3 linked regions of the Macaca fascicularis genome follow. The main gene of each other region encodes a partner of the protein of the gene in region 3 in a complex. Links are inferred from orthologs where the notes say so. Each region holds a gene or a part of one and is shown on either strand. Other genes may lie near its edges.

Region 1 (3,823 bases), on a different chromosome or scaffold from region 3:
CCGGCTAATTTTTTTTGTCTTTTAGTAGAGACGGAGTTTCACCCTGTTAGCTAGGATGGTCTCGATCTCCTGACCTTGTGATCCACCTGCCTCGGCTTCCCAAAGTGCTGGGATTACAGGTGTGAGCCATCGCACCCGGTGGAAGATTTTCTTTAGAGATCAGAAGATGCTACAGATTTTTTCATGCTGATGAAATTATTAGGGAGAGAATGGAAAATATGTGAATGGTTGAGAATATAATGCCTACTTAGAAAATATGGCAAACTTTACCTATCATAAATGTTAGTTTTAGAAACCAAGGAGATCATCTTGTCTTGGACCCCAAACTACTGGAAGAAAAGGAAGAAAATATTCTGTCTGTAGTTATGAAATGTAACAGGTTTGTTTTGTGGCTCTAATAAATCTTTGGTCTGTGTCCATAGGTTCTTGATAGTCCACAATGGGTGAACCACAGCAAGTAAGTGCACTTCCACCACCTCCAATGCAATATATCAAGGAATATACAGATGAAAATATTCAAGAAGGCTTAGCTCCCAAGCCTCCCCCTCCAATAAAAGATAGTTACATGATGTTTGGCAATCAGTTCCAATGCGATGATCTTATCATCCGCCCTTTGGAAAGTCAGGGCATCGAACGGCTTCATCCTATGCAGTTTGATCACAAAAAAGAACTGAGAAAACTTAATATGTCTATCCTTATTAATTTCTTGGACCTTTTAGATATTTTAATAAGGAGCCCTGGGAGTATAAAACGAGAAGAGAAACTAGAAGATCTTAAGCTGCTTTTTGTACACGTGCATCATCTTATAAATGAATACCGACCCCACCAAGCAAGAGAGACCTTGAGAGTCATGATGGAGGTCCAGAAACGTCAACGGCTTGAAACAGCTGAGAGGTTTCAAAAGCACCTAGAACGAGTAATTGAAATGATTCAGAATTGCTTGGCTTCTTTGCCTGATGATTTGCCTCATTCAGAAGCAGGAATGAGAGTAAAAACTGAACCAATGGATGCTGATGATAGCAACAATTGTACTGGACAGAATGAACAAAGAGAAAATTCAGGTCATAGGAGAGATCAGATTATAGAGAAAGATGCTGCCTTGTGTGTCCTAATTGATGAAATGAATGAAAGACCATGAAAGATGTTTATGTTTCTTTTTTCCTTTTGATAAATAGCCTCATATATTAGTTTATTTTCTTTTGGACAGTCTTAAGAGAGGTTTCACTAAAAATGTAAACAGCTTTAATCTTGACTCCAACTTTTTCAATTATGAGATGTCATAGGCAGTAATTTCACTGTATAACAAGCATAGACAAATGAGTACCCCTGCACTAAGAATAATCACTTTAAAAAGCAAAGTGTTCACCGCTGTTGTATGGGACATTCCTATGTTTTGGAGTTGCGGTAAAACTTTGATGATAACCTCAGTAATAGCAAAAGTTTTCGTCTTTGAAAAGGGGATTTATCATTTGCTTTAAGAATGATAGAGGAATAATGGATATCAATCTATAAATGTAAAACTATGATATCTTTAAACTTATTCCATTAAAAATTTTGCTTAAGCTGCAAAAGGTAGTATAACATGTTAATAGAGAGGAGCCCAGAAGAATTATAAAACAGAAACTTTATTTTTTCCTCATGACTGCTCCTGTAAACCCACTATCTCAGTCTTTTCTCCCTATCCTGAATAGACTCTTGCAGGCAAGTCCCATGAATTGTTTTTTTCTCCAGTCACTCAGGTAATAAGTCCTTTGGCCATTTTAAGTTACAGACATTAATTTTAGTAATTAAGATGTCTATGTCATTAGCTACACATTTTCTTTAAAGCTAAGCCCAGACTTGCTTAAGTCCACATTGGGAAAGGGGTTTGACGGCAGAGACTGCTAGGTGTCTACCAGAGAGTCTTGTTCTTTGAAGATACGTTGCCAAGATGTGGCAACCCAACCAGGGACATTTCCGTACTGCCAGCATCTCTGTGAGAACATATGATTAAGTTCTAGGCAGTGAAATGTGGGCATAGGAATCCAGGCTTGCCCCATAAACATTTCTTGCATGATCCTCCATTCTTTTCTCCCAACTGCTGGTTGCATGGTCATATCCAGGATAAGTTTGGAAGCCACCGAAGATGGCAAAGATTGTCAGTCTGGGTCTTTGAATGACTGTGAGGACTAAGTCTTCTTTTCATTAACTCCACTCTGCCCCTCACTAATTGGACTTTATGTGAGCACTTTCTTCTCCCCACTGTCCATCACCTCTTCCACCAAGGTGTTAGTAGAGAGTTGACTTTGTTTCTGAGGATCTTTGCCTGCCATTTTCTTAATGTAGGCCAGTAGTTCTTAAAGTGTGTGGTCCTGGACCAGCAGCATTGGTACCATTTGGGGACTCACTAGAAATAAAAGTTTTAGTATAATCCATAGGTTCAGAAAAATAAAAAATAAATGAAGTTTCTCTAGCTCCATCCCAGACCTTTTCAACCAGAAAGTTGAAAAGACCAGCGGGGGCAACATAGTGAGAACTTCTCTCCATTGCTATTTAATTTTAAAAGGAAAGGATATAGGGTATGTTGATTGAAGGATAAGTTGAACATATAAACCATGAGGAGGACAGAAAGTGTCTGAAGTTTTGAGTTAGTAGCCCTGGAGACCATCCTTCCTGTTAGCTTCATTCTCTTTACTGATGAACTTCTTTAATGATGTAGGTGGAGAACATGGCAACTAACAGTTCCCATGTGTTAAGCATTTCTATGTTTACCACTGTCTGGGAGTTCTCTCTCAAATACGAAAAAAAATGAGGTTAATTAACGACCTAGACATGAGGAATTAGGGGTTGCATACTTGATTCCAACTGGGCAAATCAACTGGGACTTGGCTCCCATAATAATTTGACAGTCCCCACTATGTCTATGTATGGAAGAGTCAGTCTGTCTCAGAGGAAGGAAGTGGTGCTGAACTAACAACGAGATATCCACTACAGATCAGGCACGTGTAAACTTAATATAAATAGCAAAAATAAACTGACTGTACAAATCTGTGTTCTCTTTATGAGAGTAGTTTTTCCCCAGCTATTCATTTATTCATGGTATTCATTTGATGAATACTTACTGTGGTCACCTCTATGCCTGATGCTAGTTTAAGTGTTGGATGTGTCGGAAGGGCGAAGGAAAATGTAACTAAGATAATAAAACGAATTGATTTTTGAAGGTGATAGTTTGTGTCTTAACTATTCAGCCATTACAGCACCTTCAGAAGAATCTTGCTTCCAGTTATGTTTCTATTGTCTGTTCAAATCACCTTGTCCACATTATCTTCTCTTTTCAAGGCATGTGTACATGTTCACTTCTTTTTTATCTCTTAAAACTTTTTTTTTTTATTTTTTGAGATGAAGTCTCATTCTTTCGCCAGGCTGGAGTGCAGTGGCGCAATCTGGGGCCACTGCAACCTCCAACTCCCAGGTTCAAGCGATGCTCCTGCCTCAGCCTCCCGAGTAGCTGGGACTACAGGCACGTGCCACCATGCCCACTAAATTTTGTATTTTTAGTAGAGAAGGAGTTTCACCATGTTGACCAGGATGGCCTGGATCTCCTGACCTCGTGATCTGCCCGCCTGGGCCTCTCAAAGTGCTGGGATTACAGGAGTGAGCCACCATTCTTGGCCTAAAATTTTTTTTTTCTCTTTGAGTAGAGATGAGGTCTCACTATGTTACCCAGGTTGGTTTCAAACTCCTGAGCTCAAGTAATCCTCCAGCCTCCCAAAGTGCTGGGATTACAGGAGTGAACCACCATGCCTAACCTCACATTTGTTAAGGACTTTAGAAGACAACTTTG
Region 2 (3,621 bases), on a different chromosome or scaffold from region 3:
AGTCTGCGTACCTGTCCCGCCGCCTTGCCTACTTTTGTACACGGAGACTGGCCCTGCAGCTAGATGGTGTGAGCAGTCACTCATCTCATGTTATATCTGCTCAGTCAACAAGCTCGCTACCCACCACCCCTGCTCCTCAGCCCCCAACTAGCAGCACCCCCTCGACTCCCTTTAGTGACCTGCTTATGTGCCCTCAGCACCGGCCCCTGGTTTTTGGCCTCAGCTGTATCCTACAGGTAGGTACTAGGCGGGCCCAAGGAAGCATTGAGAGATAACCTGAGAAGAATTGGGTGCCCATCCCAGAGTATAGGGGTAATTCCAAATTGGATGTGGGAGTAGGTGCTGAGTACTTGCTTGGAGGTGGTTGTTTCTTGGTAATGGGGTGTTAGTCCCCTTTGGGGGTTTTGACCAGCCTCTCTCTCCCTTCCAGGGCTAAATAGTAGGCCCAGAGCCTTTTAGGAAAGTGAGTGAAGGGAGGGGATCGGGTGGAGTGATGCCTGTCTTGGGGGCCCAGTCAGAATAACTTTGGATCTGGAATCTACGGGTTTGGTCTTAGAATGGGATTCCAGAGGGGTAGCCATGTGAACGAGTTGGACTTAGCTGTTTCTATCTGGCAGACCATCCTCCTGTGTTGTCCTAGTGCCTTGGTTTGGCACTACTCACTGACTGATAGCAGAATTAAGACCGGCTCACCACTTGACCACTTGCCTATTGCCCCCTCCAACCTGCCCATGCCAGAGGGTAACAGTGCCTTCACTCAGCAGGTATGTCTGACCACTCGCCTGGTACTCTGATTGGGCTATGAGGCTAAAGTGCTCTCTCAGAAATAGTGATTTGGAGTCTGGTACTATTCTTCTAGCCTGGGGCTCTGGCCTTTTGTATGCCTTGGTACATCCTTATAGCCTTCCTTTTTAACATTGCAGGTCCGTGCAAAGTTGCGGGAGATCGAGCAGCAGATCAAGGAGCGGGGACAGGCAGTTGAAGTTCGCTGGTCTTTCGATAAATGCCAGGAAGCTACTGCAGGTATGTGTCGGAGAACAGATAATAGGAAGTATGTTTGAGGAAAGGATGGAGATAGTAAGGACATGTAGATCTGAGAGCCAGAATGCACTGGGCCTCTAGTTCAGTCCCCTTTACCACTTTTCCTCCTTAGGCTTCACCATTGGACGGGTGCTTCATACTTTGGAAGTGCTGGATAGCCATAGTTTTGAGCGCTCTGACTTCAGCAACTCTCTTGACTCACTTTGTAACCGAATCTTTGGATTGGGGCCTAGCAAGGATGGGCATGAGGTAAGCGAAAAGGGGAATAGAAGGAGCAAAAAACATTGCAAGAGCAATAATATATCTGAGGGGAAGTCATGGTGAGGCATTGAAAGCAGAGCATATCTGCAGAAATGATCTTACTGGGCCCAGAATGTTTTATGATGGAGTGCAGTCTTCAGGAAATTGGAACTCATTTCTTTGTCCCCACCCCTACCTTACTCCTCCCTCTCTTCCTTTGGTCTCCAGATCTCCTCAGATGATGATGCTGTGGTGTCATTGCTATGTGAATGGGCTGTCAGCTGCAAGCGTTCTGGTCGGCATCGTGCTATGGTGGTAGCCAAGCTCCTGGAGAAGAGACAGGCGGAGATTGAGGCTGAGGTTAGAGGGCAGAGATAAGAGAATGAGATTGGCCAATGGGAAGGAATTTACTGGGGTTGGAGACCAAGAGATGGAGGTGGTGGAGGGACCAGAGTTGAAGGTGTGAGAACAGAGGAAAGAAGTGGAAGAGAACCTAAAGGCAAAGTTACGGACATGAGGTGAAAGTAGAGAAGAGTGGATTGTTATCAGAATTAGAGATAACATCAAGGCTTCAGTTGGGAGGTGGTAAAGAAGATGGAGGTCAGCAGGGGAATGAAAATGAAAAGCATGGGGTAGAGGTCAAGCAGGTAGTAGTTTAAGGCCTACACATTGAGGAGTGAAGAAGCAGGTAAAAGTCAGTTCTACAATTTGTTCTGTCATCTTGCAGCGTTGTGGAGAATCAGAAGCCGCAGATGAGAAGGGTTCCATCGCCTCTGGCTCCCTTTCTGCTCCTAGTGCTCCCATTTTCCAGGATGTCCTCCTGCAGTTTCTGGATACACAGGCTCCCATGCTGAGTACGGACCCCTACCACTCTCTAGTTGCGTCTGCCTAGACTCAGTTACCCGCCACTGTCATCAAAAAGTATATTTCTCTCTTGGGCTCTATGCAGAATGACTTTTAGATGTAGTTCTAGTGATCCTCTTTAACTGATCATCTTACAGTTAAAGTAGAGAAATACAGAGAAGGATTAAAACAAGAGCTTGTGATTGAAGCATTTTCACTGCGTAAATCGCAACAAAGACATTACATTCCTTTCTGAGATGGTGTGTGGGGCAGCATGTGAGGTAACCAACCACGCTTTGTCCCTCGACAGTTTCTGGGATTTTTATTTTATCACTCCTATTAATTGCCTTAGGTGTGTCCCTCTCTCTTTTGGCCCACCTTTTTGTGTTCTCCTAACTCATGTTTCCTCATTCCCTTCCTCCAGCGGACCCCCGAAGTGAGAGTGAGCGGGTGGAATTCTTTAACTTAGTACTGCTGTTCTGTGAACTGATTCGACATGATGTTTTCTCCCACAACATGTATACTTGCACTCTCATCTCCCGAGGGGACCTTGCCTTTGGAGCCCCTGGTCCCCGGCCTCCCTCTCCCTTTGATGATCCTGCCGATGACCCAGAGCACAAGGAGGCTGAAGGCAGCAGCAGCAGCAAGCTGGAGGTGAGTGGGCTTTTCCTTGCCCTAGATCGTTTCTTCTGACATTTCTATCTTCATGGCTCCCAGAGGCCTCTAAGAGCGTCTTTTGCGTGGGGCAGGGGGGTAGTATTTTCTTAGCACTTGGTGATTGACCAAGCACTATCACATCAATTGTTTCATTGGTTCCTCCCATCAGCCTTGTGAGGTACTCTTGTCCCCATTTTCAAGCTGAAGGAAGCAGAGGCCTATACTGGTTAAGTGATTGGATGACTTGACTCCAGATCCTGTGCTTTCCACAATCTGGTCTTCTCTCTCCAATTCCCCCGTGAAGTTTTCTAGATGGTGGGAGCCGCTCCCTAGGGCTAAAGCAACTTTGCTTATGTTCTATGCCCTCAGGATCCAGGGCTTTCAGAATCTATGGACATTGACCCTAGTTCCAGTGTGCTCTTTGAGGACATGGAGAAGCCTGATTTCTCAGTAAGTTCAATCCTGAGCGTGGCAGAATCTGGCTCCTTTGATCTTCCCATTATGCCTGCGTTTGGCATTTCTTTACCCCCGCTCATCCCCTTTCCTTCTTCTCATGTTCTGCCTTCTCACCTTTCTCTCAGTTGTTCTCCCCTACTATGCCCTGTGAGGGGAAGGGCAGTCCATCCCCGGAGAAGCCAGATGTCGAGAAGGAGGTGAAGCCCCCACCCAAGGAGAAGATCGAAGGGACCCTTGGGGTTCTTTACGACCAGCCACGACACGTGCAGTATGCCACCCACTTTCCCATCCCCCAGGTACTGTTCCCCAGCACCTTGTGATGATCTGTTTTGAACCTAGATTGCTGTCCAAGGAATTTGCTGAGGGGTTGGAGCTGTTCCTGAG
Region 3 (4,252 bases):
GAAACTGCAGACCGCGTCCCATAGTCCGCAGGGGTACCATAGTCGGGCCTTCCGGGCTGGGCTGGTCCCTGCCGAGGCTACGCAGCCCGGCCACCCCCAGACCCAGAGGAGGCCAACGCCACGCCTGCCCGCCGGACCCTCCCCCTCGGATCTCAGGGCCCAGTGCTGCGTCCGCCCGCCCCTCACCTCCGGCTCGGGGCGCTCCGAGGCCATCACACAAGCCCTCCCGCGCCGGCCCGGGCCCGTGTGTTCCACTCTTGACCCCTGACCTGGCTACCTCGGCACCCGGAAGGAACAGGAAGTGGGTGGGAGGGCCGAGTTCCAGTTTTCTGATTGGTGGACGAAGCCTTCTCAGAGGCGTTTGCTGACAGGAAACCGGAAGTGGAAATCGTTGCAGTCGCCTCGGCCGCCGCAATGCAGGTGAGAGCCGCGTTGGGAGTGCTAGCGGCTGGCCAGCTTCGGCTACAGGGAGCCAGAGTGGGCTGGCTAAGGAGAATGAAGAGTTGGGACTGAGAAAAGAGGGCAGAACCCACGGCTGATAAGGGAACGTGGGTTGGGGGGCGAGGTTAATTGGAGAGGGAGCGGCGCAGATGAGAGGTGGGGGTGGAGCTCGCCTGACAGAAGGCGGTCGGGCTAAATCCGGAGGGAGGAGGCAGCACTGACTTGCTTGGCGTGGGAAAGGATTAGGTTGTAATACGGGGAGGCCGAGATGCAGTCCAAGGAAGACGGCTCAGGAGGTGGTGGGTTGGCTCAGGCCCTGTCCTAAGCTGCTGGATGGAGGCTGTTGGATGCCGATATAGCAGGGGATCTAATTGGAAAGAAGCCCAAGCAGTGAGGGAATTGTGGGCCGCGGTGTCCGAAAGCTAAGCAGCTTGTAATGTGAGGCCATGGTGGAACCCAGGATCAAGTTCCTGTCAGGCACCTTAGCAGGTTTGCAAGACAGTTTTGCATCACTCTTCCCAGCCTGTGCCCTATAGTTGTTAAGGGTGAAGAAATGGAATAAAACAGGATACCACCGATGGGAAGGAAATGCTTTGCAGACCCCCGGCATTTTAATTTGTTTGTTCAGTGCTTAGAAGCATGTGCGGTTTTGGTTTTCATTTGTCACTTAGTTTCCTGCAGCTGGTAGTCTCAAGAAATGTTATTGGGTTGACCGAGCTTGTGAAAGAGGCACGGGAATATTGACACAGAGATAGATGGGTGCATATTAATTCAGCGAGGAGAAGGTTGAAACATGAAATGATGAGAGCAGATGGAAAGCTGGAGTGGTTGGTGGGGGGAGGGAAAGAGGAGAGCAGGGCTGGTATTCAGAGAAGTCTTCATGAGTAGGCAGATTTCCCAGAGACTGACAAGAGAGCCAGGCTCACAAATGCTAGGATGGAGGAAGCTGGAGTGCATGTGCTACAGAGGTGCACATGAGATAATGATCTGGCATTAGGTTTGTCGAAAATGTCTCAATGAGGGAGTGTAGGGTGTACCTAATACAGAGAAAAACCAGGCATAGATTAGGAGCGGATGGGAAAAAGGAATCAGTTGGTGGAAGTACTTGGGTCAGGCAAACGGTTGAAAGGTCTCAGGGTTGATGCTGTCTATAACCCAAATACCACAGATAGGAAACAACCTGGTTATCCTATGCCAATGAGATCCTGTTACCTGACTGGTGTTTGCACACCATCTCCTTGGCTTTTCAGCCCTCCTTTCTATGTGTCATACTCGTTTATCTGGGTAACCAACCTGTTCCTATTGGTGCAGAGAGAGGAGAAGCAGCTTGAGGCATCATTAGATGCACTGCTGAGTCAAGTGGCTGATCTGAAGAACTCACTGGGAAGTTTCATTTGCAAGTTGGAGAACGAGTATGGCCGGCTGACCTGGTAAGGGTTGCCAGGGCAAGCTAGGGAGGGCTTATGGGTGGGGGGGCCTAGCCTTCTGATGAATAGGACACTTCTAATGATGTAACCATTTATCAGTTTACAAACATCTTTTGATTTGGAAAGAGCTGGGTTTCGTAACATTTAGCAAGTGGCTTCCATGGCAAGGAAGTAGAGAAATGCTCGGTTTCCTAACCCAAGTTCATTATAGCTTTCAATTCTTACCCTTTGACTTCTCTGGTGAGGAGGTCCTCCTATTACAGCTCTATTTGTGCTGGATCTCTTGCCACAAATATGGCTGAGTCCTTTAGATCCAACCTACTCTGAAGTGTGGATCCTATTTCCAGGCTGGAAAGAAGGATTTTACCGGGTTTCTGAAGTTTTAGTTATAACAGTATAGTCCTATTTTGCCACTGTTCCTCACCTCATTCAAACAATGAACTGGATTTTTTCTACATCTGTTTCATAAACTGAAACTATGTCCCTCTTTCATAACCCTGTCATCCTTGTTAGTTTCTTCCCACTTAGGCTAGTCATAGGGCTATGAGACTTTTGGGGATAAATCCGAGTGTTCCTAGCCTGAAGGAACTAGGACTATTTTACTAAGAACCACCCAAGGAAGGGGTGGAACATTCTGACACCTGCTTACTGCCAACAGGCCATCTGTCCTGGACAGCTTTGCCTTGCTTTCTGGACAGTTGAACACTCTGAACAAGGTCTTGAAGCATGAAAAAACACCGCTGTTCCGTAACCAGGTCATCATCCCTCTGGTGTTGTCTCCAGACCGAGATGAAGATCTCATGGTAAGAGCAGAAAAAGAATACAACTTGGGAAATTAAGGAGTTTTTTAGGCTTCTTTACTATTTAGGGAAATTAAGTTCTTAGCTGAGAACTTAGAAATAATTTTGGAGGCCTTGCTTTTTGTTCTTCTGAAGGTGGGAGAGCCACTCCCAAATAGTGTTGTAATAACCTGAGGGGTATGTCACCAAGGCTGGTACCTTCCTTCTCCAACATCTGTCTCAAGCCACAAAGTCTGCCCTTTGGTGACTTTGTCTGTTTCAGTCTTTGAAACGTGGCAGACAGTGATAGTTTAATTTGCCTCTAGGTCTGGTAGAGATAGGGATGTGAGAAGACACAAAAAATGAAGGCTGGAGTAAAGGAGATTGTGTCCTAGGAAACTAGATATTATGTCTTAGGTTGTATTTTCCTTGAAAATGCACTGTTTGCCTGTGGATGGGACTGTATATCAGGCCAGATAGAATCTTCTTGGAGTGCATAGTAGGATCAATAAAATCTGTGTGTTGCAGCGGCAGACTGAAGGACGGGTGCCCGTTTTCAGCCATGAGGTAGTCCCTGACCATCTGAGAACCAAGCCTGACCCTGAGGTGGAAGAACAGGAGAAGCAACTGACGACAGATGCTGCCCGCATTGGTGCAGATGCAGCCCAGGTTGGACTGAGTCACTGCCTTGCTGCCCCATCCCCATCCCATCATGAGAAGCTAGGCATTACCATTCCTGTCTAGTAGGGATGCATAGTTGGTTGCACCTAAGCTGCTTCTGGCAGAACCCAAGGAATAAATTTGTCCATATCGTTTCCTAGTTACCCTAATCTCTGCACAAATTTGTGTGTTACAGAAGCAGATCCAGAGCTTGAATAAAATGTGTTCAAACCTTCTGGAGAAAATCAGCAAAGAGGAGCGAGAATCAGAGAGTGGAGGTATGGTGGACTGGTGGCAAAACAGAGAAGGAGAGGTATATAAGATCACTGGAATGGGAATGGTTGTTTCGAGAGTAGTGAAGTTAGGACACAAGAGTGAACTGCTTTAGGGTTTGCATCCATTCTGTTAGCCTTTTGTATTTAAGGCCAACCCTGAAGCAGTGGAGGAAATGGGCAAAGTAAGAAGAGAGAATTCTGAGATAGGCTTGGGGGTCCTCTGGCTCTTTTTATGGGCTGTGAGGGAGTCTAGATGCTGCTGAATTCAGAACTCTAAACCCTGGCACTCATACTGGTCTTCCAGCTGCCACGTTCAGTCCTGCATCAGAAACATACTTCAGGATCCCCACTTACTTTTTCTTCAGGTCTCCGGCCAAACAAGCAGACCTTTAACCCTACAGACACTAATGCCTTGGTGGCAGCTGTTGCCTTTGGGAAAGGACTGTCTAACTGGAGACCTTCAGGCAGCAGTGGTCCTGGCCAGCCAGGCCAGCCAGGAGCTGGGACGATCCTTGCAGGAACCTCAGGATTACAGCAGGTGCAGATGGCAGGAGCTCCAAGCCAGCAGCAGCCAATGCTCAGTGGGGTACAAATGGCTCAAGCAGGTCAACCAGGTAAGGTGGCAGGGGTTGAAAGGAAGCTGACTTTGAGCAGGGGAGCTGGAGGGAAT

What was found. Proteins that work in one complex are often made in the same cells at the same time.
Region 1: MED8 (region 3) and MED7 share a complex: the UniProt entries of both Homo sapiens proteins name them as parts of the mediator complex. The link is inferred for Macaca fascicularis from reciprocal best matches to the Homo sapiens genes MED8 and MED7.
Region 2: MED8 (region 3) and MED12 share a complex: the UniProt entries of both Homo sapiens proteins name them as parts of the mediator complex. The link is inferred for Macaca fascicularis from reciprocal best matches to the Homo sapiens genes MED8 and MED12.

Annotation. Positions count from the first base shown.
Region 1 is NC_088380.1:163,927,887-163,931,709, reverse strand, and holds the end of MED7 (mediator of RNA polymerase II transcription subunit 7), read left to right. Parts: intron 1-422; 5' UTR 423-439; coding exon 440-1,138; 3' UTR 1,139-3,204; downstream 3,205-3,823. UniProt on the Homo sapiens protein: Component of the Mediator complex, a coactivator involved in the regulated transcription of nearly all RNA polymerase II-dependent genes.
Region 2 is NC_088395.1:77,823,135-77,826,755, forward strand, and holds part of MED12 (mediator of RNA polymerase II transcription subunit 12), read left to right. Parts: coding exon 1-236; intron 237-617; coding exon 618-764; intron 765-923; coding exon 924-1,023; intron 1,024-1,153; coding exon 1,154-1,290; intron 1,291-1,509; coding exon 1,510-1,641; intron 1,642-2,008; coding exon 2,009-2,135; intron 2,136-2,548; coding exon 2,549-2,778; intron 2,779-3,150; coding exon 3,151-3,231; intron 3,232-3,362; coding exon 3,363-3,533; intron 3,534-3,621. UniProt on the Homo sapiens protein: Component of the Mediator complex, a coactivator involved in the regulated transcription of nearly all RNA polymerase II-dependent genes.
Region 3 is NC_088375.1:191,388,106-191,392,357, forward strand, and holds the start of MED8 (mediator of RNA polymerase II transcription subunit 8), read left to right. Parts: upstream 1-1,331; 5' UTR 1,332-1,515; coding exon 1,516-1,871; intron 1,872-2,526; coding exon 2,527-2,671; intron 2,672-3,175; coding exon 3,176-3,316; intron 3,317-3,503; coding exon 3,504-3,585; intron 3,586-3,947; coding exon 3,948-4,196; intron 4,197-4,252. Other genes in the region: KICSTOR complex protein SZT2, read right to left, coding at 187-213. UniProt on the Homo sapiens protein: Component of the Mediator complex, a coactivator involved in the regulated transcription of nearly all RNA polymerase II-dependent genes.